Linked DNA regions of Stegostoma tigrinum. The protein of the gene in region 3 interacts with the protein of the main gene of each other region in a pairwise test. Links are inferred from orthologs where the notes say so. Each region holds a gene or a part of one and is shown on either strand. Other genes may lie near its edges.

The links.
Region 1: the proteins of txlna (region 3) and ccdc146 interact in binary tests that used the Homo sapiens proteins (3 or more experiments, as listed by UniProt). The link is inferred for Stegostoma tigrinum from reciprocal best matches to the Homo sapiens genes TXLNA and CCDC146.
Region 2: the proteins of txlna (region 3) and dtnba interact in binary tests that used the Homo sapiens proteins (3 or more experiments, as listed by UniProt). The two-hybrid records come from large-scale screens. The link is inferred for Stegostoma tigrinum from reciprocal best matches to the Homo sapiens genes TXLNA and DTNB.
Region 4: the proteins of txlna (region 3) and deuterosome assembly protein 1-like interact in binary tests that used the Homo sapiens proteins (3 or more experiments, as listed by UniProt). The two-hybrid records come from large-scale screens. The link is inferred for Stegostoma tigrinum from reciprocal best matches to the Homo sapiens genes TXLNA and DEUP1.

Annotation. Positions count from the first base shown.
Region 1 is NC_081378.1:24,324,982-24,332,631, reverse strand, and holds the start of ccdc146 (coiled-coil domain-containing protein 146), read right to left. Parts: upstream 3,055-7,650; 5' UTR 2,604-3,054; intron 1,868-2,603; exon of another isoform or gene 1,803-1,867; intron 1-1,802. Other genes in the region: protein FAM185A, read left to right, coding at 3,668-4,193, 7,462-7,571. UniProt on the Homo sapiens protein: Essential for sperm flagellum biogenesis and male fertility.
Region 2 is NC_081357.1:130,868,104-130,875,196, forward strand, and holds the start of dtnba (dystrobrevin, beta a), read right to left. Parts: upstream 3,162-7,093; 5' UTR 2,940-3,161; intron 1-2,939.
Region 3 is NC_081377.1:47,670,180-47,677,802, forward strand, and holds the start of txlna (alpha-taxilin), read right to left. Parts: upstream 3,143-7,623; 5' UTR 3,030-3,142; intron 1-3,029. UniProt on the Homo sapiens protein: May be involved in intracellular vesicle traffic and potentially in calcium-dependent exocytosis in neuroendocrine cells.
Region 4 is NC_081359.1:48,534,060-48,541,387, reverse strand, and holds the start of deuterosome assembly protein 1-like, read left to right. Parts: upstream 1-4,190; 5' UTR 4,191-4,217; intron 4,218-7,328. Other genes in the region: neutral amino acid uniporter 4-like, read right to left, coding at 3,725-3,746. UniProt on the Homo sapiens protein: Key structural component of the deuterosome, a structure that promotes de novo centriole amplification in multiciliated cells.

The DNA.
Region 1 (7,650 bases), on a different chromosome or scaffold from region 3:
CCTGGCAAACTAGAGTCAATGGGAACTAAGGGGTTGAATCTACATTGGTTGAAGTCATATTCAAGCACGAAGGAAGATAGCTGTGGTTCTTGGAGGTCAAACCATCTCAACCACATGACATCACTGCTGGAGTTGCCTAAGGTAGTGTTCTTGCCTCAGTCATCTTCAGCTGGAGATGTTTATTGACAATTGCATAATGTTCAACAACATTCGCAACTCTTCAACTATTGAATATGTCCATGTACATTCAAAAGCAGCAAAACCTGAGCAACATCCAGTTTTGGGCTGATAAGAGGCAAGTTATATTTTTGCCCAGTATTACATCTCCAGTAAGAGAATTCAACCATCCGCCCTTGACATTTAATAGCATTGGATTCCCTCCGGTGAGGAAACAGGCCCTTCAGTCAAACAAGTTCACACCGCCCCTTGAAGCATCCCACCCAGACCCATCCCCCTATAACCCACACACCCCTGAACACTACGGGCCATTTTGCATGGCCAATCCACCTAGCCTACACATCTTTGGACTGTGGGAGGAAACTGGAGCACCCAGAGGAAACCCACGCAGACATGGGGAGAATGTGCAAACTCCACACATACAATCACCCGAGGCTGGAATCGAACCTGGGTCCCTGGTGCTATGAGGCTGCAGTGCTAACCGCTGAGCCACTGTGCCACCCTTAGCATCACTGAAAACCACAAACAACATCTTGGAGATCACTATTGACCAGAAATTGAACTAGGCTAGCTATGTTAGTACTGTGGCTACAACAGCAAGTCCAAGGCTTAGAACACTGCAAACAAAAACTGAAAGAACTGTGGATGCTGTAAATCAGGAAAAAACAACACAGAAGTTAATGGAAAAGCCCAGTGGTTCTGGTAGCATCTATGAAGTAAAAGGGGGCATTTAAACAGTCCTTGGATAAGCATATGGATGATGATGGGATAGTGTAGTGGGAGGGGCTTAGATTAGTTCACAGGTCGGCGCAACATCAAGGGCCAAAGGGACTGTTCTGCGCTGTATTGTTCTATGTTCTAAGAGTCAGAGTTAACATTTTGGGTCTGTTCTGAAGAAGGGCCACCAGACCCAAAAGTTAACTGATTTTTCTTAACAGACACTGCCAGACCAACTCAGCTTTTCCTGCAACTTCTGCTTCTGAGCTTAGAAATCTGCATTGGGTAATTCACCTCTTGATTCCATAAAGGAGGTGAGTGAGCAAAGGGTCGGGATAGGATGGTGGTTCAATGTGCCAGGGTACTGTGGTAATTATACACAGGGCAAGGGAAGGTGATCAATGCACACAGGGCAGGGAAGACGTCAGTGCATACATGGCAGGGGAGAGGTCATTGCAGACAGGGCAGGAGGAGATCAGTACACACATGGCAGGGGAGGGGTGTCAATATAGACTGGGCTTTGAGGGGGGGTAGGTGTGGTCAGAATACATATTGGGGGTTGATGCAGACATGGCAAGGGCAGAGGTGGTCAGTGAACACAGGGCAGGGGAAGTGGTCAGTGCACACAGGTCGGCGGTGCGGACATTGCACAGAGCGCGGAGGTTGTCAGTTTACACAGGACGTGGGGTGGTCAGTGCACATAGGCCAGGGGATGGTCAGTGTAGACAAGGCCGTGAGTGGGATAGGAGTGGTCAGTCCACATGGGGCGGGTGCACACTTGGTGATGGTGTGGGTCAGAACATCAACACTAGAGTTTGTGGATTAAAGCTGTAATCGGTGCCTTTCTGGTATTTTTGTTTTTCTGTTCTGCGCCGTCTAGATTTGAAGCCCTCGCCTTTGAGATGTACCTGAGGAGCTGCTGACACTCTCCGGGATCCTCTTCCAGTTTGTGGTCAACAAGCGTCATCTCCATAGCAACCATACACACAGTTAGTTCGCACCCAGCCATTGGGCAACATGGGATTCATCTGGACCAATAGCAAAGCTACTAAAATAAATCCCGGAAACCCGGAAAGGCCCAACAATAAGAGATAACAAGGCGTCGAGATGGATGAACACGGCAGGTCAGGCAGCATCAGAGGAGCAGGAAAGGTCCAAACCCGAAACGTCAGCCTTCCTGCTCCTCTGATGCTGGCTGACCTGCTGTGTTCATCAGCTCTATGCCTTGTTAACCTCAGATTCTCCAGCATCTGCATTTCCTACTATCTCAAAGTCCAACAATAAACTCATTTCCCTCATGCAATGCAGACTAATTGTTAATACGACTTAGATACTACGAACGCATTTCCTTTATTTATATTTGTGCAGCCTTAAATCTCTCACCAACTGTCCTTCAAGTTATACAAAAGAAATCCGCTGAACCCAGTTGTGAACCAAGGTAGACAAATAGGAGGCTGTCAAAACACAGCAAGCTAGGCAACATAACTTGGAAAGGAGAAGGCGACATTTCGGGAATTAGAGATAACAAAGTGTGGAGCTGGATGAACAGCAGGACTGCCTTTGGCATGAACCCTTCGGCAGATCTACATCAGAAGACATTTCGCGAAAAATCGCTTATTTTGTAAAAATTTCTTTGAATGACATCAACAATTGGGGTACAGTGGTAAAGCTTCTCCTTTTGAATTAGAAGATCCGGGTTCAAGTCCCACCTGCTCCAGAGCCGTGTTATTCACGTATCTGAACAGGTGCATTCCTGCGACAAAAACAGAAATTGTTAGCGAAATTCAGCAGGTCTGACAGCATCTGTTCACCAGAGAGTTAACTCTGCTTTCTCCACACGGTTGCTACCAGCTTGAGAATTTTGCCAGCGACTTCTTCTTTCAGATCTATGGCGTCCTGAGTTCTTTGTTTTATTGTGCGCATGACAGACAGTTGCACATCTGCCAATGTGGTATACTGCATCCACTGTACCCGGTGTGGCTTCCTCTACATTGGGGAAACCAAGCGGAGGCTTGGGGACCGCTTTGCAGAACACCTCCGCTCGGTTCGCAACAAACAACTGCACCTCCCAGTCGCAAACCATTTCCACTCCCCCTCCCATTCTTTAGACGACATGTCCATCATGGACCTCCTGCAGTGCCACAATGATGCCACCCGAAGGTTGCAGGAACAGCAACTCATATTCCGCTTGGGAACCCTGCAGCCCAATGGTATCAATGTGGACTTCACCAGCTTCAAAATCTCCCCTTCCCCCACCGCATCCCTAAACCAGCCCAGTTCGCCCTCTCCCCCCACTGCACCACACAATCAGCCCAGCTCTTCCCCTCCACCCACTGCATCCCAAAACCAGTCCAACCCGTCTCTGCCTCCCTAACCTGTTCTTCCTCCCAACCCAAGCCGCACCCCCATCTCCTACCTACTAACCTCATCCCACCTCCTTGACCTGTCCGTCTTCCCTGGACTGACGAATCCCCTCCCTACCTCCCCACCTATACTCTCCTCTCCACCCATCTTCTTCTCTCTCCATCTTCAGTCCGCCTCCCCCTCTCTCCCTATTTATTCCAGTTCCCTCTCCCACTCCCCCTCTCTGATGAAGGGTCTAGGCCCGAAACGTCAGCTTTTGTGCTCCTGAGATGCTGCTGGACCTGCTGCGTTCATCCAGCCTCACATTTTATTATCTTAGTTGCTCTTCGTTGCTCGCTGCAATGCTTGGACAGCTGCAACCGTTTGTACTGCATTGTGGGAATTGTAGTTCGCAATCGTCCGGTTAAAGATGCGTGCGCGGACTTCAACTCCCGACAGCACTTTCTCCTCTACCCATAACAACAGAAAGTTGGCGTTGTGGTTTTCTCCTGAGCCGTGGAGGATCCGGTATTCTGTCCCTGGTTTCGGCTCCGGCATGACTTCCTTCCCTCTGTTTTTCCGCCGAGGCTGGTCAGCGCTTTTGCCGAGGGAATGCGGCCCGTCTTTTGCCCGTCTGCGGCCTTGGAGGTCGGTGTCGGGCACCCGCTGCCTGGACTCCCGGCACAAGGGTAGCGCCTTGAAACGCTGGACTCTGCTGGTAGATCCTTTCGGCTCTTTAAAGGTGCGCCTGCCCTGCGATGTGTCGGTGAAGCCGCTGGACCCGCACGGCTACCCGTCGGCTGACCGCGCTTTCGTCGAACTCATTTCCCCAAACCAAGGGGAGAATATGGACGATGTTCTGGTGAAGTACGACAAGGCTCTGAAACAGATGGTGGTGACTTCTGAAAAAATCAGCGGCGATACTCGCATCGATTTGGTCACTCCGGTAAAGTTTGGTAAGTGCATTTTGTGAAACTGAACCCTGTTTTCGTTTTGGAGGTAGTAGGAACTGCCGATGCTGGAGAATCTGAAATAACACGCTGTGAGGCTGGATGAACACAGCAGGCCAAGCAGCATCAAAGGAGCTGGAAAGCTTGAAAGAAGAAGGGTCCCGACCCGAAACGTCAAGCTTTCCTGCTCCCCTGATGCTGCTTGGCCTGCTGTGTTCATCCAGCCTCACATCGTGTTAGTGATAATGGGAACTGCAGATGCTGGAGAATCCAAGATAATAAAATGTGAGGCTGGATGAACACAGCAGGCCCAGCAGCATCTCAGGAGCACAAAAGCTGACGTTTCGGGCCTAGACCCTTCATCAGAGAGGGGGATGGGGTGAGGGTTCTGGAATAAATAGGGAGAGAGGGGGAGGCGGACCGAAGATGGAGAGAAAAGAAGATAGGTGGAGAGGAGAGTATAAGTGGGGAGGTAGGGAGGGGATAGGTCAGTCCAGGGAAGACGGACAGGTCAAGGAGGTGGGATGAGGTTAGTAGGGAGGAGATGGAGGTGCAGCTTGGGGTGGGAGGAAGGGATGGGTGAGAGGAAGAACAGGTTAGGGAGGCAGAGACAGGTTGGACTGGTTTTGGGATGCAGTGGGTGGAGGGGAAAAGCTGGGCTGGTTATGTGGTGCAGTGGGGGGAGGGGACGAACTGGGCTGGTTTTGGGATGCAGCGGGGGAAGCGGAGATTTTGAAGCTGGTGAAGTCCACATTGATGCCATTGGGCTGCAGGGTTCCCAAGCAGAATATGAGTTGCTGTTCCTGCAATAAGCAATGGTTCGCAATAAGCAACTGCACCTCCCAGTCGCAAACCATTTCCACTCCCCCTCCCATTCTTTAGATGACGTACATCATGGGCCTCCTGCAGTGCCACAATGATGCCACCCAAAGGTTGCAGGAACAGCAACTCATATTCCGCTTGGGAACCCTGCAGCCCAATGGCATCAATGTGGACTTCACCAGCTTCAAAATCTCCCCTTTCCCCCACCGCATCCCAAAACCAGCCCAGTTCGTCTCCTCCCCCCACTGCACCACACAACCAGCCCAGCTCTTCCCCTCCACCCAGTGCATCCCAAAACCAGCCCAGCCTGTCTCTGCCTCCCTAACCTGTTCTTCCTCTCACCCATCCCTTCCTCCCACCCCAAGCCGCACCTCCATTTCCTACCTACTAACCTCATCCCACCTCCTTGACCTGTCCGTCTTCCCTGGACTGACTATCCCCTCCTTACCTCCCCACCTATACTCTCCTCTCCACCTATCTTGTTTCCTCTCCATCTTCGGTCTGCCTCCCCATCTCTCCCTATTTATTCCAGAACCCTCACCCCATCCCCCTCTCTGATGAAGGGTCTAGGCCCGAAACGTCAGCTTTTGTGCTCCTGAGATGCTGCTGGGCCTGCTGTGTTCATCCAGCCTCACATTTTATTATCTCACATCGTGTTATCCCCGTTTTTGTTTTGAAGGGTGCCAGTCTTTTCAGCGAAACCCTAGTAGTTTGAGATCCAAAAGAGATCGTGATGCCCGGAGCATAAAAACAATTTGGATCCGGGCATGTTTCCTTTGCTGCTTCTGTAAATCTGCTAATTGTTTCCATGTGTTTAAAACAGTGGTGTACCTGTCGTCGTTTTTAGTGGCTTTTGGAAGTTACCATGGATATTTTGGAACCAATATAAAAAGGCCATGGAAATAATGGGAAATTATCTACATGTTGCACTGTCAGTACCCATTCTAAGGGGATCCCAAGTTAATTAAATACTTACTGCTGTTTTATGTAGAGTGCATGCAACATACACACGCTTAGTTCAGCAGGGGACGAATGCTTTAGCATTAGACTCATTTATGAGAATCACTTTACTGACTGTTTTGCTTCAGAGTTTCAGCATTTTTTGGGGGTGGGGGGGAGGTTTATGTGCTTGAGCTGCTGGAGTTAGTTTTGAGCATGTGATCAGGCTTAGATCGTTACGAAATAGGAACAGGAGCAGGCTGTTTGGCCCATCAAACATGATCCGTCTTTCAATATATTTATAGCAGATCCAGTATTCCTCACGTCCGCTTTCCTGCTCTTTCCCCATAACCCTTGATTCCCCGATTTTTTTTTTTTTTTTTTTTTTTGATCAAGAATCTATCTTAGCCTTAAATATTCACAAGAACTCTGCCCCACAGCTGTCTGTGACAAGACCCAGATGACACAGCAGTTGCATCTATGAGGAGGAGGAAAAAGTCTTTTGTCAATTTTTGTTTGTTGTTTTTGTGTGTGTTTATTTATGTCCTTAGAAGTTTGTGTGAAATAAGATAGTTTATATGGGTGGCTTGTAAGGATAGGTAAAAAGTAGTTGTTATGCAACTTTTAATTTGTCTGTGGAATTAGAGTTTTGATTGACTTACTACGTCCTTCAAGGTATACTTAGGCAAAATTATCTCTCATATGAAAATAGTTTAATGTTGTAAGGCCATAAATTATGAGTAGGAGTAAACCACTTGGTCCCTTTGACCCTACAACACCATTTATGGCTTATGACCAATTTATGGTGTTAACCCCAATTTCCTATCTGTTCCCATAATCTGTAAATTTTTTTGATGCATCAAAGAGTTATCTAACTTGGATTTGAATATATTCAATGAGCCTGCCTCCCCTGCTCCCTGTGGAAGACAATTACAAAGACTTATGACCCATCAAGAGAAGAAATTCCTTCTCATTCGTCTTGAGAGGCCCCTCCTTTTGAAATTGTCCCCAGTTCTAGACAGATTCCCTGAAAGGAAACCTCTTCCCTGCACCTCTGAGAAGTCCCCTCAGAATCTTATTTCAATAAGACAAACCTTGCTTTCTTCTAAACTGTAATGAATACAGTCTCAATCTTTATGTATAAAACAACCATTTTCAAATCACTAATCCATCCACAGTTCTCTGAACTATATATCCCCTTTTAATGGTAAGAGGTTGATAAAGTTGATGACAGGGAAGTTGTAAATCTTCTTCCAAATTATCATCTTTCCTCATTCCAATTCACCCTAAGCTCTTCTGGGCCCAGATGAGGTTTTTTGTTCTATTAGTACTATAGAGAAGCTTGTTCAACTAAACATTCCCATTTTACATACAATGCATTTTTAAAGCAATGGGAATATAATTGCAAATGTACTGTGTATTTTAAGATATGTAAGCAGATGATTTTATGTTGTCTCTTGACTGATTTTTCTTTTTTAAAATTCATTTTTAAACTTCATATTTCTGTTTGCAGACCTGGACATTAGCACCTTTCATAAAGGATGTGTCAAAATAAAAAAAATGGAGAGTGATAACTGCTATGTAGAGACTGAAAAAGGGCACAGTATCCTGAACTCATTAAAGGTACAAATTTTTCTCAGAACTTTGAGTGTTTTTCCATTTGGTGTTTTAGTTTAGACTCCAAATAATGGAAACATCTACA
Region 2 (7,093 bases), on a different chromosome or scaffold from region 3:
TATACTCTAAATAACAGGGGCCCTTGTGTGGAACATTGTGGAATCCCATGAATAACAACCTGTCAACCAACTTCATTTAAATATCGGAACAAAAACAGAAATTGCTGGAAAAGCTCAGCAAGTCTGGCAGCATCTGAGAAGAAAAATCAGGAATTAAAAATCAGGAAGTTCTAAGGAAGGGTCACTGACCCGAAACAATAACTCTGATTCCCTCTTCACAGATGCTGCCAGACCTGCTGAGCTTTTTCAGCAACTTCTGTTTTTGTTCCTAATTTACAAAATCTGCAGTTCTTTCGGTTTTTACTTAAACGTACACAGCTTGTTTTTGTTGCTGTTCCAACCCCCTAAGTACTGGTGGATGATTACTCCTTCAAGCTAATGATGTCAATATCGGTGAGAAACTCAGGTTAAAAAGTGACATGTATGTTGCTCAGGTGTGTGCCTTCTGTGTTTCACAGGTGCCTCACAGCTTCAGGTCATATTGTCCTAATTAAGCCAACTCTGCCTGTTCACTCTGTTCCTCAGGGCCACCTGCTCGCAGTCACATGAAAATAAGCAGATAATCACTCGCCAACAAAAACTCTCTCAGTTTCAAACTAAGACTACACATCATGTACAAACTTGGCCTCACTGTGAGAAAATTAACCAGTCACATGTCAACTTAAAAACTAATGAATGCCTAGCACCTTGCCTTCTGGATACTGTAAATCTGCATGACAGCGCCTTTACAGTTACGTTTTGCAAAATGAGTTTCTAGAGACATTAGTACACTTCACAAAAAATTAGTCTTTGATCTGAATTCTTGCATTTAACTCTCCTCTTATGAAAGATTCAAATTGAAAATACCAAGTGCTGAGTGAAACATTGAGAAAGAGGTGAAGAGTGTATTGTATAGACTACAGGGAGTGAGGTGGACAGGATCCATACTGTCGGGCTCCTGGGGGCCAGCCATAACCAACAACTTGTCCTGGTCCATCCACATAAATGTGATGGTCAGGAAAGCACAATGACTCCGCTTTCTCCTCAGCAGGCAAAGGAAATTCAACATGTCCGTAAGAACCCTCACTACCTTTTACAACTGTACCACTGAAGGCAGTCTATCTGTGTGTATAACAACTTGGTATGGCAACCAGCCGCATAGGACGGTAAGAAACTTCAGAAAGTTGTGTACACAGTCCAGTCCATCACACAAGGCAATCTCCCATCCACTGAATCCATCCATACATCTCACTGCTGTGGAAAAGCAGCCAACAGCATTAGAGACTCCGTCCCACTCCAGTTATAATCTCTTCCAGCCTCTTTCACCAGGCAGAAGGTACAAAAGCTTAAATACGCACCAACAGGTTCAAGACATCTTCCTCCCTGCCACTATTTGACTGCTGTATGGGCCGCTCTAATTTCAGAACTAATGTTGATCTTTCTTGTGTACACCTCCTGTGCAGCCATAACTTTGCATGCCTTGCTCTGTTCAATCATTCATATGTCCTTGTATGCTATCATCTGCCTGTACTGCATGCAAAACAAAACTTTTCACTGTACTTAGGTCCACGTGACTACAGTAAATCAAATAAAACCAAATAAAGGATGGAAAGCGGCAAATTCTGACAATGTGGCTTAGACGAGGTTGACATAAAACACAAATGTATCATGAAAGCATTTTACTCATTGTGTGTGTTTACAAGATCGACTGTGCCACCCAAAAAGATAGGAGCTGCATCTGAAATACCTGATGCCCAGCAAGAATTTTTTTTATGTTTTAAGGTACTGATATACTTCATAGATGAAGTAGCAATATAATAATAATGTAAAATAAAGTCTGAAATCAATGGTCTGTGCATTGGCCTTTTAATTCAGCCACTTTTAATTAGTAAACCACTAAAACCAGTTGGAAGTATTGCACCATACATGCTATCATTACCCAGGAGCCTGGTGCTACATGAGTACAGTTTCCCTTTTTTAAAAAGAAAGACGTGGAATACTCTTGCTGGATTAGCCCCAAAATAATGAAGCTCCAATTTTTCCCTTTATCAGAAACCAAATTTACGTAAAATAGTTTCAGAGAAGACTGAGGAAGAGGAATCGTTGGCTTTCCAATGTATACAACTGTGCTTTTGGCATCATTTCTGCAATCATATAAATGCGAGTAGGCGGGACTAGAATGTGGAAAAAAAAGGTGAGCAATGTTTGGATAAGCGTGTCAATGTACTGAGGTGCTGCACTGACAGCCAGTCTCTCACCGACCAGCTAGAGCTAGAGGTTTAACATTTAAAAAAAACACTTTCAGTTTTAGAGGGGAGAACACAATGATGGCAAGTAGGAATAAAATCTGTTTAATGTTGTTGCTGTAAATCCAACTGATCACAAAGCACACCAACCCGCACACACAGGGGCACCATAGCCGGAGAGAGAATGTTCAACACCAAAAATCAAACACTATTAATTCCGGCACAATTACACGGGAAATAACAAGGCAGCTTTGATGTTTCCCAATTCGGGAATGCGCTCTAACCTCTGCAATTCAATGCAGGCAGAGTTTACAACGTTAACCGGGCAGCAAATGCTGCACCCACACAGTACCCTGGCCCTCTCAGTGCCCCCTCCACCATAAAAACCATCACCGCATTTCCAATCTGTGGGTGAAAACGTGAGGAGCCCGCACATCCTCCCGGAGCTTCGGGCTGGCCTCAGCAGTGAGAGGTCCGGGAAGGGGACCGTTGTCCCGGCTACCCAGCCAGGGACGCTGTGGCCCAGGATCGGAAATCTTCAAGGACACGCTGCTCGGCCGTGAAACTGCACAAAGTCGGGAATGGGAGGGTCCAAGGCATCTCTGTGTAATGTTGGATCCTGAAGGGAAGGTAAGGGCTGCGTCCCTGTGTATTGGAAAGAAGTGTATCCAAGCTGCCCCTACAGTGAGGGATGTGAGGGATACTGTAACTGACCTGCACAGCAGCAGGGCTCCGGTTCCTCATTCCACGCTCAGATCACTGCACCGACCGCCAGGCTGTTGTTGCCTGCCCACAGTCTTCCTCTCTCTCTCTCCCTCTACTTCATTCCTCCAACAGTTAATACCACATCTGGCTGAGGCTGCTTCACCAATCAGCAGCTCAGTGAACCGGCCAGTGTTCAGAGAGACAGACAACACCAGCCATTAGCCTGTAAGAGCTCCGAGCTGGGGAATGCGTCATGCAGCTAACTGGGCTGAACTAGCAACTCCCTGACAAATAACAGCAGCTAGCTTGCTGCCACTCAGACATCAGGCGTGGAGAAGGCACCCTCAAAGATGCTGGGGGAGAAAGAAGGAGGAAGCAATTACTTCCTCCCTTTCTCTTTTAAAAAAATACACCAGATAGTTTCCACTCGCCCAAAGCTGACATTGTTCCAGCTAATCCGCACACTGCCCCTCATTCTGGCGAAATTACAGCAAGATTTCTACTGAAACTACATGACTTCACGTTCTGCCTACACGTTCATTTAAAAATTACATTTAGAAATGAAATGACAGTTTACAGTTACATGTAGAGGAGTATAAGCAGAAAATGCTTGATTCTGATTCAGGCCACATATGAAGATGCACTTCAGGGATTAAATGTGAAAATTTAATGAGGTAAAGGTTTAATCTTAACACATATCTAAATTAAACAAACACTTCTTCAGTTCTAAGTGATCTTTAATAAGTTTTAAAACTAGACTAATTCAGATTTTAATAAAATTCTTTAAATATAATCAGAAATAAAAAGAAAATAATTGAGGGGTAAATATCCAATAAGTGTAAAATCTGCAAGCAGTTTGACAAACTGAACAAACATTTAAAAAGTACTGTTGCAGTGTTCAGAAATTTAATAACCGGAGAAACATGTTGCAAAAAGGTAGAATCTTCAACTAAACATTGCACAGCACAGCTTTCACAACCTCAGGGTATCCCAAAGTGCTTTACAGTCAATGAAGTACTTTCACAGTATAGTCACTGTTCTCAATATAGGAATGATGATGTGCTCAAGTCCTTAAAGTGGCAACCCTAAGGCTTATGGTCTTGATGACACTTAGCATCAACAAAAGGCACACTGGCAAACTCTCACACTGAGAAAATATCCACCAATACAAATGGAAGAGTTTCTATAGGTACGTGAAGAGGAAGAGATTGGTGAAGACAAATGTAGGACCCTACAGAGGGTAATGGGGGAATGTATGATGGAGGACAAAGGAAGTGCCTGAGGAACTGAATGGTTCTGCCGTCACAAAGAACAACACAATTCAGACACCAGAACTGTTAGAGAATGCAAGATTTAGTGAGATGGAAGAGCTGAGGGAGAGCAATATTAGTAGAGAAATAGTGCTGGGACAATTGTTGGGATTGAAGGCTGATAAATCCCCAGGGCCTGATAATCTACATCCCAGAGTACTTAAGGAAGTGGCTCTAGAAATAGACCATGCATTGGTGGTCATCTTCCAGGATTCTATAGACTCTGGATGGTCACTAATATCACTCCAATATTCAAAAAGGGAGGTACAGAGAAAACAGCGAATTGTAGATCGGTGAGCCTACCATCGGTAGTGGGGAAAATTCTCAAACCCATTGTCAAAGATTTTGTAGCAGAACAGTTAGAAAGCAGTGGCAGGATCAGACCGGGTCAGCATGGATTTATGAAGGGGAAATCATACTTGAAAAATCTGTCAGAATTCTATGAAGATGTAACTAGTAGATTGGACTAGGGCAGCCAGTCGATGTAGTACATTTGAACTTTCAGTAAGCATTTTGACAAAGTCTCACAGATTAATGTGCAAGATTAAAGTGCACGGGACTGGGGGAAGTATATTGAGATGGATAAAAAACTGTTTGGCAGAGAGAAAACAAAGAATTAATGGGTCCTTTTCAAATTGGCAGGCAATAACTAGTGGGGTGCCATAGGGATAGGTGCTGGGACCCCAGATTTTCACAATATAGACCAATGATTAGGATGAGGCAACAAAATGTAATGTCTTGAAGTTTGTAAATGATACCGAGTTGGGTTGGAGGGTGAACTGTTATGTAGGTACAGAGATCCGGACTGGTTGAGTGAGTGGGCAGATCAATGGCAGATGCAGCCTAATTTGGATAAATGTGAAGTTATTCACTTCAGAAGCAAAAGCAAGAAGGCAGATTACTACCTGAATGGCAGTAAATTGGGAGAGGGGACTGTGGAGCAGGACTTGGGTGTCCTTGTGCATCAGTTGCTGAAGGTAAGCATGCAGGTGCAGCAGGCAGGAAAGAAGGTAAATGGTATGATGGCCTTTATTGTGAGAGGTTTTGAGTATAGGAACAGGGGTGTGTTGTTGCAGTTATGCAGGGCCTTGGTGAGGCCACACCTGGAATATTGTGCGTAGTTTGGTCTCCTTTTCTGAGGAAGGATGCTGTTGCTCTCGGAGGAGTGCAGCAAGGGTTTACCAGGCTGATTCAGGGAATGGCAGGATTGACAGAGAGATTGATTAGGTTGGGAATGTTTTCACTAGAGTTCAGATCAATGAGGGGTAATCTCATAGAGACTTATAAAACTCAAACAGAACTGGACAGGGTAGATGCAGGGAGGATATTCCCGATGGTGGTTGTATCCAGGGCCAGGGGTCACAGTATGAGGATTTGGGGTAGATTATTTAGGACGGAGATGAGGAGACAGTTCTTCACCCAAAGAGTGATGAGCCTGTGGAATTCATTACCGTAGGAAGTAGTTTATGCCAAAACACTGAATATATTCAAGAGGTGACTAGATATAGCACTTGGGGTGAATGGGATCAAAGGTTACGGGGAGAAAGAAGGAATGATCTGCCACGATCATGATGAATGGCAGAGCAGGCTTGAAGGGCCGAATGGTGTCATCCTGCCCCTATCTTCTGTGTTTCTGTGCTTCTGTGGAATAACACATACATACATTTTCCAAAGGTCTTATTTTCAGGAGGGATGAAAATTTGGACAAATTCTAGGTGAAAGCTAAGCACAAAGTACCAGTTGGTCTGAGGGGAAGTCATTCTCGGCTACAGAACAATAATGACAGAAGTTACTGAGTAACTTCTTAAATGTGTTTTGATCTCTTATCATAAGAGAAATGGAATGATGCCTGCATATGTGGAACAGCCCTCAATCCCAAAAAAAACATGAAGGGCCTCTTCTTGGCTCATTCAGTTGACTAACACTTGATAGTTTATTTGATCAGAAGTTTCACAGAACAGCAGCAGAGCTAAGGGGAAAAAAGAAGTTGCAGGAAAAGAATATTGTAGAGCAACAGGTTCGAGTTCCTGAAACGAGTTATGATCCTACTGTATTAAGAACAGTTTGCACTGCAATAGTACCTCATATGTAGTAGAACATTCATTGGTGTTTGTGAGGTATATTACAAAGAAAAAACTGACACCCAGTCCTATGGGAGCAACTAAGGAAAATAAACAAAGGCTTTGTTGAAGAGTTCGTATTTAAAGAGCATCTTAAAGGAATAAAAAGATATAGAGGTGAAGGGAGGAGATGCTAAAGCTTAGAAACTTAGCAGCTGAAGGTAGGATTTCCAATAATGGGGGATGATTAAAATCAGGAAGACATAAAGCAGCAGAATTGAGACTGTGCAAAAAAAGGGTTATAAGACTGGTGGAGATGGTAGTGATGGAGGGGGTGTAGGCAGCAAGGCTATGAGGGGGTTTTGAAGATAAAGATTGAGAATTTCAAAACAAAGATACTGTTTAATCATGAGTCAATGTAAATTAATGAGCACAGGGTAGTTATAGGTGAACAGGATTTAGATATGGACAGCAGAGTTTTACGTTTACAAAAGGCAGAACATGTTAGGCGAGCCAGAAGCACACATAAATTGTCAAGCTTAAAAGTACCAAGAGCTTGGATGAGATTTTTAGCAGCAAATGATCTGATTTTGGGCTATGTTAGGCATAAATAGTGCATTTTTAAAGACATGTTACATGAGATTTGTCTGCCATGTTTATCCAAAAGTCCTTTATATACGGCTAATTAATAATTGTGTTTCTTAAATTTAGCGATACATTTTGTCATATAAACTACAATGCCATCCCTCACCTCATTAATATAGCTACATATATTATGGACAGAAAATATTGA
Region 3 (7,623 bases):
AATTATACCACTAGGCCATTGCCTCCCCAGATGCAGCTCCAACAACACTCAAGAAGCATGACATCATCCAGGACAAAGCAGCCCACTTGATTGGCACTATGTCCACAAGCATCCACTCCCTCCTCCACCAACGCTGAATAGCAGCAGTGTCTACCATCACAAAATGCACTGCAGAAACTCTCAAAAGACCCTAGAAGCACCTTCTAAGCCCACAACCACTTCCATCTACAAGGATAAGAGCAGCAGATACACGGTAACACCACCACCTGAAAGCTCCCCACCAAGTCCTCAACATCCTGACTTGGATATATATCACAGCTCCTTATCTGTCGTTGGGTCAAAATCCTGGAATTTCCTCCCTGATGGCATTATGCTGTCGGTTGACCCATATGAACTGCAGTAATTCAAGAAGGCAGCTCACTACCACCTTCTCAAAGACAACTAGGGATAGACATTAAATGCTGGCCAGCCAGTGACATTCACATCCCAATAATGAATAAAAAGGATTTAGCTAAGGGAACTAAATGTAATATCACCAAATTTTCAGATGACAAAAAACTTAGTAAGAAGGATAACTGCAAGGAGACTGCAGATATGTTTTCTATTTCTTGTTCTGAAGAGTCACTGCACCTGAAATATTTTACTTTGTTTTCTTTTTGCAGATTTTGCCAGGCCTGCTGAGTTTTTCCAGCAATTTCTATTTTTGTCCGAGATTCCTGCTCCCGATGTGGATGACAGCAGAGCAATGGGAAGCTGGAGCAAACTACCATGGCAAGGAGGAACAAGGTGCCATTCAGGATGGAGCAGAAGAGAGAAATGTCATTATAATCAGGGGAACAGACAGTTCTGTGGTCCGATCTAGAGTTCAAGAGGTTGTGTAATCTGCCTGGTGCCCAGGCGCGTGTGTGCGCGCGCGCGTGCGCGTGTGTTTGTGCGCGTGCGCTTGTGCGTGTGCGCGTGCGCTTGTGCGTGTGCGCGTGCGCTTGTGCGTGTGCGTGTGCGCTTGTGCGTGTGCGTGTGCGCGTGTGTTTGTGCGTGTGCGCGTGTGTGTTTGTGCGTGTGCGCGTGTGTGTTTGTGTGTGTGCGCGTGTGTGTTTGTGTGTGTGCGCGTGTGTGTTTGTGTGTGTGCGCGTGTGTGTTTGTGTGTGTGCGCGTGTGTTTGTGTGTGTGCGCGTGTTTGTGTGTGGGGGGGCGTGGAGGAAGAGGAATCCAGTTGTCATGGGCCATGTAGGTATCAATTATATAGGAAGAAAGAGGACAGAAGTTCTGCTGAGGGAATATAAACAGATAAAGGGATAAATTGATTAGCAGAACCAAAACGATAATAATCTCTGGATTACTACCTGACCCATAAACCAATTGACATAGGGTCAACAAAATTCAAGAGGAAACACGAACCTCAAAGATTAGCCCAGGAGAAATGGGTGCAAATTCATGGGACCGTGGCACCAGTGCTGGGGAAGGAGGAAGCTGTTCTGTTAGGATGGGCTCCACCTGAACCATGCTAGGACCAAAGTCCTGGTGAATCACCCAACTAGGGCTGTGGATAGAACTAAACTAAAAAATGCAGGAATAAGTTAAAGTGGGGGGGGGGGTGGTGGAATTTGTCAGCCAAGGTTATTAATTGTTCTGAAAACTTTAAAAGGACAGAGTACAGAAAGGGTCAATAATCTAACTTCAGGCACAGCAGATAAGGATGGGAGCCAGTCAACATAGGACTAAAGGTTTTATATTTAAACACACACAGTGCACAAAACAAAGTCAATGAGCCGGTGGTGCAGATTGAAACTGGCAGGTACCCGAGACACATCTGCAAGGAGATCAGGGCTGAGAACCAAATACCCAAAGATATGTATCCTATTGAAAGGACAAACAGATTGCCAGAAGGGGTGAGGTTGCCTTGGTAGTAAGAAATGAAATTAAATTGATAGCAAAAAGTCATATAAAAGAATCGCAAAGTAGAATCCAGGTAGAGCTGCAGAACTGCAAAGGATAAATGACTGATGGGAGTTACCTACAGGCCTCCTAGCAGTAGTCAGGATATAGGAGAGAAAATAAGGCCATGTGATACATGGAGGTTTGGGGGGGGGGGGTCGTGGAGGGAAGAGACCTGATTGAAACTTACGGAATACTGATAAACCTGGATAGAGTTGACTTGAAAAAGGCATTTCCACTAGTAGGAGAATCTAGGATCTGAGGGCAGGCTCAGATTTAAGGGATGACCCTTTGGAACTGAGATGAGGAATTTTTTTCAGCTGGACAATGATGAATCTGTGGAATTTATTGACACCAGCCGAATGGGTGGTGTTAAGACAGAGACAGCTGAGTTCAAGAGTTACGCGGAAAATACAGGAATGATTGAATGGTGGAGCAGATGTGATGGGCCGAATGCGCATTCTGCTCCTATATCTTAGTCTTGTTATTAGCTAGGAGTATTCATCCAAAATCGTGCCCAAGACGACTGCACGGGGAGAGATAATGGTCGGTAAATCCCATATTTTGTGGGTGGAATGAACTCGATTAATCGAAATGTCCCAAAGGTGTCAGTTACAACCCGTTTGCTGAAAATCAACATATTAATCATATATGCCAAATTGTTACAGACATCAAGGCTGATTTATAGAGAAAGAATTATCTACCGAAAAACCAAGAGTTTAACCTGAAAACTCAGCAGCATTTACCGACGCGAGTTTCAGGGTCAGATTGTTCCGTACAAACACAAATCCCTTTTCAGTGGATATGAACCAAACAGGAGTTTTCAGGACAGCCCGGGAGGCACATATTTCCACATTGTGACGGCGCGGATGCGCAACAAACAGGAAAATCAGCCTCAACCGCGCCGCACGTTGTCGATCCCGGGGCAAAACTCGGCGTTAGCTCGGGATCAGCGCTAAAGTGCGCATCAGATACGGCCTGGGCCCGGCTCAAAACTCCAAGTAAACCCCGGCGTTAACCACGGTCTCGGTTAACAGCTTTGGGCCTCCGTGAGGTAAATCAGAGACGGGGGAGGAAGTCCACCGCACACTCACCCTCCCACACACAAGGTACACCACGGATCCGCGACTTTCCTCAGGTTCCAGCGACGCGACCACTCAGTCCGTCCGGATTCGCACCCGCACTAACCGGAAGTGCGCCGGCGTCTTCCTAACAGCATCACCAGTGACCGCCAGGCGAATAACCAATCGGCTTTCAGAAGAGTGCTTCCGGCTATGCGTGGAAGTTGTCGCGCAGACCTTCGGGTAATGTAGATTGGCAGGTACCTAGTTTTGAGGGAATCGATTGTTCCCAAAATGCACTTTGACCAGAAACAAAAATATTCTGAAAGGTGTAGCACAGACAGTAGGAACTGCCGCTGCTGGAGAATCTGAGATAACCAGGTGTAGTGTCAGAGATGATGGAGAATTCCAAGATAATAAAATGTGAGGCTGGATGAACACAGCAGGCCAAGCAGCATCTCAGGAGCACAAAAGCTGACGTTTCGGGCCTAGACCCTTCATCAGAGAGGGGGATGGGGAGAGGGAACTGGAATAAATAGGGAGAGAGGGGGAGGCGGACCGAAGATGGAGAGTAAAGAAGATAGGTGGGGAGGAGAGTATAGGTGGGGAGGTAGGGAGGGGATAGGTCAGTCCAGGGAAGACGGACAGGTCAAGGAGGTGGGATGAGGTTAGTAGGTAGCTGGGGGTGCGGCTTGGGGTGGGAGGAAGGGATGGGTGAGAGGAAGAACAGGTTAGGGAGGCAGAGACAGGTTGGACTGGTTTTGGGATGCAGTGGGTGGGGGGGAAGAGCTGGGCTGGTTGTGTGGTGCAGTGGGGGAAGGGGACGAACTGGGCTGGTTTAGGGATGCAGTTGGGGAAGGGGAGATTTTGAAACTGGTGAAGTCCATATTGATACCATTCGGCTGCAGGGTTCACAAGCGGAATATGAGTTGCTGGTCCTGCAACCTTCGGGTGGCATCATTGTGGCACTGCAGGAGGCCCATGATGGACATGTCATCAAGAGAATGGGAGGGGGAGTGGAAATGGTTTGCGACTGGGAGGTGCAGTTGTTTGTTGCGAACTGAGCGGAGGTGTTCTGCAAAGCGGTCTCCAAGCCTCCGCTTGGTTTCCCCAATATAGAGGAAGCCGCACCGGGTACAGTGGATGCAGTATACCACATTGGCAGATGTGCAGGTGAACCTCTGCTTAATGTGGAATGTCATCTTGGGTCCTGGGATGGGGGTGAGGGAGGAGGTGTGGGGACAAGTGTAGCATTTCCTGCGGTTGCAGGGGAAGGTGCCGGGTGTGATGGGGTTGGAGGGCAGTGTGGAGCGAACAAAGGAGTCACGGAGAGAGTGGTCTCTCCGGAAAGCAGACAGGGGTGGGGATGGAAAAATGTCTTGGGTGGTGGGGTCGGATTGTAAATGGCGGAAGTGTCGGAGGATGATGCGTTGTATCCGGAGGTTGGTAGGGTGGTTTTCAAGCCCACCGACTCCCACAGCTACCTAGAATACACCTCCTCCCACCCACCCTCCTGCAAAAATTCCATCCCCTCTGCCCAATTCCTCCGCCTCCGCCGCATCTGCTCCCACGATAAGACATTCCACTCCCGCACATCCCAGATGTCCAAGTTCTTTAAGGACCGCAACTTTCCCCCCACAGTGATCGAGAACGCCCTTGACCGCGTCTCCCGTATTTCCCGCAACACATCCCTCACACCCCGCCCCCGCCACAACCGCCCTAAGAGGATCCCCCTTGTTCTCACACACTACCCTACCAACCTCCGGATACAACGCATCATCCTCTGACACTTCCGCCATTTACAATCCGACCCCACCACCCAAGACATTTTTCCATCCCCACCCCTGTCTGCTTTCCGGAGAGACCACTCTCTCCGTGACTCCCTTGTTCGCTCCACACTGCCCTCCAACCCCACCACACCCGGCACCTTCCCCTGCAACCGCAGGAAATGCTACACTTGTCCCCACACCTCCTCCCTCACCCCTATCCCAGGCCCCAAGATGACATTCCACATTAAGCAGAGGTTCACCTGCACATCTGCCAATGTGGTATACTGCATCCACTGTACCCGGTGCGGCTTCCTCTACATTGGGGAAACGAAGCGGAGGCTTGGGGACCGCTTTGCAGAACACTTCTGCTCAGTTCGCAACAAACAACTGCACCTCCCAGTCGCAAACCATTTCCACTCCCCCTCCCATTCTCTTGATGACATGTCCATCATGGGCCTCCTGCACTGCCACAATGATGCCACCCGAAGGTTGTAGGAACAGCAACTCATATTCCGCCTGGGAACCCTGCAGCCATATGGTATCAATGTGGACTTCACCAGTTTCAAAATCTCCCCTTCCCCTACTGCATCCCTAAACCAGCCCAGTTCGTCCCCTCCCCCCACTGCACCACACAACCAGCCCAGCTCTTCCCCCCCCACCCACTGCATCCCAAAACCAGTCCAACCTGTCTCTGCCTCCCGAACCGGTTCTTCCTCTCACCCATCCCTTCCTCCCACCCCAAGCCGCACCCCCATCTACCTACTAACCTCATCCCACCTCCTTGACCTGTCCGTCTTCCCTGGACTGACCTATCCCCTCCCTACCTCCTCACCAAACCTCTCTCCACCTATCTTCTTTACTCTCCATCTTCGGTCCGCCTCCCCCTCTCTCCCTATTTATTCCAGTTCCCTCACCCCATCCCCCTCTCTGATGAAGGGTCTAGGCCCGAAACGTCAGCTTTTGTGCTCCTGAGATGCTGCTTGGCCTGCTGTGTTCATCCATGTCCACACCTTGTTACATTCTGAAAGGTCACTGGATCAGAAATGTTAACTCTGTATCTCTGTCCATAGATAAGGTTCACTAACAGTTTCTGTTATTGTTTCCGACTTCAAACAATTACAGTTTTTTTCAGTCAGAAGCTGGGAAGGTGCGGCTAGGACTCGAGGTTGCGGCTAAAGGGGAAGGATCCAGTGAATGGGTGGGGGGGGCTGGGCAAAAGCCGGACGGGAGAAGGGGTGGAGCGACAGAGGGGGCGGGGCGCGAAGGGGGTGGGGCTCCAACATAATACTTTGCCTTCAGGGTGAAGGGACATTTTGTTCCCTGCCTGTAAGCTGCGTGTTCGCCTCAGTCAGGTTCCCTCTCCAGCTTTCTGTGCTCTAAAGAAAACATCCCCTTGTGTCTGAGATAATGGGAACTGCAGATGCTGGAGAATCCAAGACAACAAAACTGTGGAGCTAAATGAACACAGCAGGACAAGCAGCATCTTAGGAGCACAAAAGCTGACAGTAATCAAGCTGTAGCTAAACCAACATTGTATACACCTCCTTCAGCTTGTATTCAACGCAGACATTAATAAACGCAATGTAGGAACAAATTATTGCAGTTGCTGAAATCCATGCTGAGCAAAAATGTTGGAGATCACAACTGGTTGGGTAGCATCCATGGAGAGAGAAAATAACCTAATATTTTAAGTGTGAGGCCTTGTTTAGAACCTGGCTGTGTATCAATTTGGAGTCAGATGATGTTATTTCTAAAGCAGGAATTTATAAAATACAATACGGATTGTCTGCAATTTCTGTGCTTTTTGAGCAAAAAAAATGTATCTACAATTATAAATGTGCAAGTGCAAATCAGAGGCTGATAGCTATGTTCAGTGTCCACGAGGACAGCCTCAACCGGGATCTTGGGTACATTTCACACTACAAGTGACCCCAACACACTATACTCTATATATACACACACACACACACACACACACACACACACACACAAAAAAAATCACATACACACAATCACATACTCACACAGACAATCACATAAACACACACATGCACAATCACATACATGCACAGAAGATCACATACACACATATACACAATTACACACCCAATCTCACACACAAAATCACATACCCACACACAATCACATACCCACACAGACAATCACATACACACACACAATTACATACACAAACACGCACATGCAGAAAATCACATACACACACAATCACACGCACATGCAGTTACACACAATCACATACACACATAATCACATACACACACACACAATCACACACACAAACACAATGTTCTATGTTCTATACACAATCTCTCTCACACACACACACTCAATCACATACACACACAACCACATACATACACACAATCACACAGACAATCACATACACGCACACAAACACACAATCACATAAACATACACACGCACACAGATAATTACATAGATATATACACACACACACGCACACGCACAGACAATCACATACACACATACACAGTTCTATACAGTTGTATAGGACTTTGATTCAACCATATTTAGAATACTGCATACAGTTCTGGTCGCCACATTACCAAAAGGATGTGGATGCTTTGGAGAAGGTGCAGAAGGGAGGTTCACCAGGATGTTGCCTGGTATGGAGGTCACTAGCTATGAAGAGAGATTGAGTAGATTAGGACTATTCACATTAGAAAGACAGAGGTTGAGGGGGCCCTGATTGAGGTCTACAAAAACATGAGGGGTATAGACAGGGTGGATAGCAAGAAGCTTTTTCCCCAGAGTGGGGGATTCAATTACTGGGGTCACGATTTCAAGGTGAGAGGGGAAAACCTGAAGGGAGACAT
Region 4 (7,328 bases), on a different chromosome or scaffold from region 3:
AGTGTCCACAAAGGCACCCTTCGAGATACACAGGCCTCCAGGCTGAAAAGTAACCTTCCACCACCATTTTCGGTCTTCTACCTCGAGCCACTTCTGTATCCAAATGGCTGGTTCTGCTCATATTCCATACAATGTAACCTTGCTAACCAGGCTACCATAAAGGAACTTTGTCAAACTTCGTACTGAAGACCACCACTCTACCCTATTCAATCCTCTTCATTAAATTAAAGTTTTTTGAAGAAGTAAAGTTCGTGAGACACAGTTTCCCACACACAAAACTACGTTGACTATCCCTAATCAGTCCTTGCCTTTCCATATACAGGAACATGAAAATCCTGTTCCTCAGGAGTCCTTCCAACAACTTGCCCAGCATCACATTACATTTTGAATTGAATATTTTACAAAATAGCTAAGACAAATTGTTTAAGGCCCAAAACGTCAGCTTTTGTGCTCCTAAGATGCTGCTTGACCTGCTGTGTTCATCCAGCTCCACACTTTATCTCAGATTCTCCAGCATCTGCAGTTACCATTATCTCTGAAGACAAATTGTTTGACCATATATCTTCACAAAAACACTTATTTAAGACACATCTGATTGTCTTATCTGACCACAGCCACATAAGACAAGAATATAGACTGACCAAGGGAGTATTCGTTCATTGCTGGTGTCAAATTTTGCTTTTAATACATGAATGAAACGTTCTACATTCAACAAGTTAACTGCAAGAGAGTCAGAGTTATACAGCATGGAAGCAGAGCCTTCAGTCCAACTCATCCATGCCAACCAGACATTGTTGTTAAACTTTGCTTCTAATATATGAACAAAATGTTCTGCATTCACCAAATTATCTCAGTTATACAACATGGAAAGAAAGTGTTCGGTCCAACTCGTCTATGCCAACCAGATATCTTAAACTGACCGAGTCCCATTTGTCAGCATTTTGCCCGTATCCCTCAAAACCCTTCTATTCATGTACCCAGATGCCTTTAACATACTAGATACATTCATTCATTCACAGTAAGTGTCAGGCACAGTGCAAGTAATTAAAAAACTAGTCTCTAACCAAAAAAATGAAACTTTCCCACGTCTAAATATTGTTAGTTTCTTTATAAACAACAACATTTTCATGGGATGTTACTTCTCTCCTCATAATCACAGCAACTGTGCGTTTACTTGCTAATGAACTGAGCCGATCGGCTGATTTTTGATGCATTAACCATGAGTTATGTAGTGATATATCATAACGGGAAGGCAGCAGTCATCATTCCCCGCAGCATCTCAGGAGCACAAAAGCTGGCATTTCGGGCCTAGACCCATCAGAGAGGGGGATGGGGTGAGGGTTCTGGAATAAATAGGGAGAGAGGGGGAGGCGGACCGAAGATGGAGAGAAAAGAAGATACGTGGAGAGGAGAGTATAGGTGGGGAGATAGGGAGGGGATAGGTCAATCCAGGGAAGACGGACAGGTCAAGGAGGTGGGATGAGGTTAGTAGGTAGGAGATGGAGGTGCGGCTTGGAGTGGGAGGAAGGGATGGGTGAGAGGAAGAACAGGTTAGGGAGGCAGAGACAGGTTGGACTGGTTTTGGGATGCAGTGGGGGGAGGGGACGAACTGGGCTGGTTTTGGGATGCAGTGGGGAAGGGGAGATTTTGAAGCTGGTGAAGTCCACATTGATACCATTGGGCTGCAGGGTTCCCAAGCGGAATATGAGTTGCTGTTCCTGCAACCTTCGGGTGGCATCATTGTGGCACTGCAGGAGGCCCATGATGGACATGTCATCTAAAAAATGGGAGGGGGGAGTGGAAATGGTTTGCGACTGGGAGGTGCAGTTGTTTATTGCGAACCGAGCAGAGGTGTTCTGCAAAGCGGTCCCCAAGCCTCCGCTTGGTTTCCCCAATGTAGAGGAAGCCACACCGGGTACAGTGGATGCAGTATACCACATTGGCAGATATGCAGGTGAACCTCTGCTTAATGTGGAAAGTCATCTTGGGGCCTGGGAATTCCTCCAACTTCCTACAGACTAAGGGGGTGGCCATGGGCACCCGCATGGGCCCCAGCTATGCCTGCCTCTTTGCAGGTTACGTGGAACAGTCCCTCTTCCGAACCTACACAGGCACCAAACCCCACCTCTTCCTCCGCTACATTGATGACTGTATCGGCGCCACCTCTTGCTCCCCAGAAGAGCTTGAACAGTTCATCCACTTCACCAACACCTTCCACCCCAACCTTCGGTTCACCTGGCCATCTCCAGCACATCCCTCACCTTCCTGGATCTCTCAGTCTCCATCTCAGGCAACCAGCTTGTAACTGATGTCCATTTCAAGCCCACCGACTCCCACAGCTACCCAGAATACACCTCCTCCCACCCACCCTCCTGCAAAAATTCCATCCCCCATTCCCAATTCCTCCGCCTCCGCCGCATCTGCTCCCACGATGAGGCATTCCACTCCCGCACATCCCAGATGTCCAAGTTCTTCAAGGACCGCAACTTTCCCCCCACAGTGATCGAGAACGCCCTTGACCGCGTCTCCCGCAACACATCCCTCACACCCCACCCCTGCCACAACCGCCCAAAGAGGATCTCCCTCGTTCTCTCACACCACCCCACCAACCTCCAGATACAACGCATCATCCTCTGACACTTGCGCCATCTACAATCCGACCCCACCACCCAAGACATTTTTCCATCCCCACCCCTGTCTGCTTTCCGGAGAGACCACTCGCTCCGTGACTCCCTTGTTCGCTCCACACTGCCCTCCAACCCCACCACACCCGGCACCTTCCCCTGCAACCACAGGAAATGCTACACTTGTCCCCACACCTCCTCCCTCACCGCTATCCCAGGCTCCAAGATGACTTTCCACATTAAGCAGAGGTTCACTTGCACATCTGCCAATGTGGTATACTGCATCCACTGTACCTGGTGTGGCTTCCTCTACATTGGGGAAACTAAGCGGAGGCTTGGAGACCGCTTTGCAGAACACCTCCACTCGGTTCGCAATAAACAACTGCACCTCCCAGTCGCAAACCATTTCCACTCCCCCTCCCATTCTTTAGATGACATGTCCATCATGGGCCTCCTGCAGTGCCACAATGATGCCACCCGAAGGTTGCAGGAACAGCAACTCATATTCCGCTTGGGAACCCTGCAGCCCAATGGTATCAATGTGGACTTCACCAGCTTCAAAATCTCCCCTTCCCCCACCGCATCCCAAAACCAGCCCAGTTCATCCCTTCCCCCCCAATGCACCACACAACAAGCCCAGCTCTTGCCCTCCACCCACTACATCCCAAAACCAGTCCAACCTGTCTCTGCCTCCCTAACCTGTTCTTCCTCTCACCTATCCCTTCCTCCCACTCCAAGCCGCACCTCCATCTCCTACTTACTAACCTCATCCCACCTCCTTGACCTGTCCGTCTTCCCTGGACTAACCTATCCCCTCCCTACCTCCCCACCTATCTTCTTTTCTCTCCATCTTCGGTCCGCCTCCCCCCCCGCTATTTATTCCAGAACCTTCACCCCATCCCCCTCTCTGATGAAGGGTCTAGGCCCGAAACGTCAACTTTTGTGCTCCTGAGTGCTGCTGGGCCTGCTGTGTTCATCCAGCCTCACATTTCATTATCTTGGATTCTCCAGCATCTGCAGTTCCCATTATCACAGCCATCATTCCCCACCCAGTCCCATGGCCTCAGTTCCAGCCCCCGTAATTCCGATTGCCCAATTACCTATTTCCTCCCCGTGCTCCATGTCAATTGCTGCGCCACGTCACACGCCGCCTCCTCCTACAACGGATTTCCTTGATTCAAACCAATTCGAAGCAACAAAAAAGAAAATCAAATATAAATTTTGACAGGCCGCTGCTCGAATTAAACGTGATTCTGATGTTTTATCCTCCCACTTCGCAGGAAACATTAAGCCCTTGGAAGAGGCAAATTAAAAAACTACAAGTCCACAGAGATAGCGTCGATCTTCCCCGGCGTTAGTTTCTCGGGAATGCCCACCCTGTCAACGGCCAGTTTTAACTGCAGCATGAGTCGGTCATTGGTGAAACACAGATACCAACACAGTCACACCATGAGAACTCAGACCCCAGCACGTCCCCAAACCACAGATGTCATAACCAAGAGAGAGCGCATGTGCAATCTCCTCCCCTCCCTTCCGAGCCCAGACTGCGTGCGCGCCGAGCCTGCCTCAAGCAAAATGTGCGCTCTTTAGAAAGTAAGTGTAAACTCTCTTGACTGCCTGCCCAGGAAATATTTAAATTCAGTATTTTCTTTCTGGCAGACTGGGCCCATGCATTTTCCACACAGATTTTCTTCCCTTCGTTTTAATTTCCTGATTCACTTGTCTGGCCACTGTTATTTGATATTCCAATTAATTTAGTTATTTTACACCAGACCTTTGGAATGTGTTTGCGGCAGTTTTATGGCTTTAATTGCCCGATAAATATCGGAGAAGAATTCGTTCATTCAGATCATCAAGTCAGCTCTGCCATTCGATTAAGGCCAATATGTTTCTCAATTATATTCTCTTGCCTTCCCCCTGTAACCTTTGATCCCCTTCCTAATCAAAAACCTATCTTTGTCTTAAATACACTCAATGACTTGGTTATCACAGCATTCTGCAGCAACCAATTCCACAGATTCACCACTTCTATCTGAAGAAATTCCTCCTCAACTCAGTTCTCAAGGGTCCTCCCTTCACTTTTAAGCTGCACCCTCAGTTCCCTGTCTCCTCTACTGGTGGAAACGTCATCTCTGCATCCACTCTATGCAGGCCTGTCAGTATTCTGTAAGTTTCAATGAGATCTCTTCCTCATCCTGGATGAGCAGCATGGACAAAATGGGCTGAAGTGCCGTAGACATCTACGACTCAATAACTCAACCGAGTACAGAACCACAATCCTTAACTGCTCCATATATGACAATCCTTCATGCCCAGGATCATCATTGTTCTCAGGGTCACCGGACCTGAAACATTAACTCATTTTTTTTCATCTGCCAGACCTGCTGAGCTTTTCCAGCAACTTCTATTTTTGTTCCTGATTTACAGCATCCACAGTTCTTTCAGTTTTGTTCAGGTCATGGGTGACACGGTGGCTCAGTGGTTAGCAATGCAGCCTCACAGCGCCAGGGACCCGGGTTCGATTCCTGCCTCCCGTCTGTGTGGAGTTTGCACGTTCTCCCCATGTCTGCGTGGGCTTCCTCCAGGTGCTCAGGTCTCCACCCACAGTCCAAAGATGTGCAGGTTAGGTGGATTGGCCATGCTAAATTGCCCATAGTGTTCAGGGGTGTGTGGGTTATAGGGGCATGGTTCTGGGTAGGATGTTTCAAGGAGCGGTGTGTACTCGTTGGGCCAAAGAGCCTGTTTCCACACTGTAGGGAATCTAATCTAGTATTTAACTCACTATTACATCTCTGCTAGGCATGCCCACCTTGAAGAAGTTTTGCTCCTCTTTCCAACGGGATTTCCATTTCCATCTTCTTGCCCACCGACATTAATTGTCACTCGCAGTGTTTAACCAAGTATTTGCTAAAACTCGTTTCCACAGCCATATCACATTCCTCAGTGACTGCCTCAGGCTTAACTCACCCCTTGTGGATTCTAACTGAATTTTCATCCCTCATGTTTTGAATTCTCCCAGAATCACAGTTATCTCCATGATGTTCAATGTTCCACGGACAATTACTCTTGCCACATCCTGAGATCCACTCTCTCTGCCATGTGGCGTCACATGCTCAGACTCAATATTTCTCTCCAATAGCGTCACAACATGCTGGCTCAGAGCTGCACCACTCTACAGTTTCATTTCATCCTCCAGCTCATTCGCCGTGCTAACATGAAACATTTTCTTTTCCTTTCAGGCATCAAGGTCCACAAGATGCAACTTCTCAAAGCTACCCATGGCTCTCTGGAACCTTCCTCTCCCTTCCTCCCCTCCGATTCCATTCCCTCTTCCAAGTCCACCTCCTGTCAGCTATTCACCATCCCTCTTAACCTTCTGCTCTCTGATGGTGAATGTTCTGTACTCAGCAACAGCCTCAGCCTTATTCCTCTGCGTCCCTACCTGAACAAATTTCAGATATGACATAATGCCGAACTGTTCTTTCGCTGTCTTCAGCTCCGTGCCCATTTCTTCAGGCAACAGTTCAAAAACACAAGAATTTTTTTTAAGTTGTGAGGAAGGATCACTGGACCCAAAATGTTAACTCCTAATTTTTTCTTCGCAGATGCTGCCAGATCTGCTGAGCTTTTCATTCAACTTCTGTTTTTGTTCATTCTTGTAAGCCTCCTCTGACCCCCTCCAACATCAGCACATCTTTCCTTAGAGACAGGACCTGTCCTTCTGTCTATCTTTGTGTCATTAGCAAACTTAACACCAATTCCTGCAGCTCCTTTGTTCAGATCAGCAATGATTAATTTGAATAGCTGCGGTCCTGACACTGAATCCTGTGGAACTGCACTAGTCACCAGCTGCTACCCTGAAAAAGACAACTTTAAACTCAGCCTTCTGCCAGTTAGCCAATCCTCAATCCATGCCAGTACCTCATCCCACACACAATAGCCTCTCATGTTATTTATCAGCCATCTGTGTAACACATTGTCCAAAATCATCTGGAAATTCAAAAACAGATTATGTGTACTGGCTCCCCTTCATCTATCTTGTCATTGCCTGTAGGATTGAGCGAAAATCCTTATCATTTAAAATACCGGACTAAAACCCTGGGCTTTAAAAATTAAATAAAAAGGCAGCTAGGCTATGCTCTGAGCAAATACACAGTAACAGAGACAGCTGCCTGGAACTATTGTTCAATTACAAAATCTAATTCACACCTCAACCCTAAAAGAATAATTCACTAGACCTAAGAAACCAACTTAATCCAGACATCACGGAGCCTTTCCAGATACCAAGACATCCAATTTCAATTAAGAAGCAGGAAAATTGATGTTCCGGGTCAGGACCCTTCTTCACAATAAACCCATTTCTGAAGAAGAGTCCCATCAACTTTCCTGCTCCTCTGATGCTGCCTGGCCTGCTGTGTTCCTCCAGCTCCACACTGCTGTCTCTGACTCCATCATCTACAGTTCATGCTGTTTCCAACTTCAATTAATATTCATTTACAGAAATACCAGACATTCCATCTATTCAAAATACATTTACACTTACTCTAAACTACCAAGAAGCCATTTCACGTCAAAAGTGGGGCAACAGTAGTACAATACAACTGGGAAGCACAGATTTGGCACAAAGGTAAGAGACCTGCAATTTAGTATAATTGCAGGCCCTGTCTCACCTGAAAAAAGAAAAAGAGTAATCCTCACAAGCTA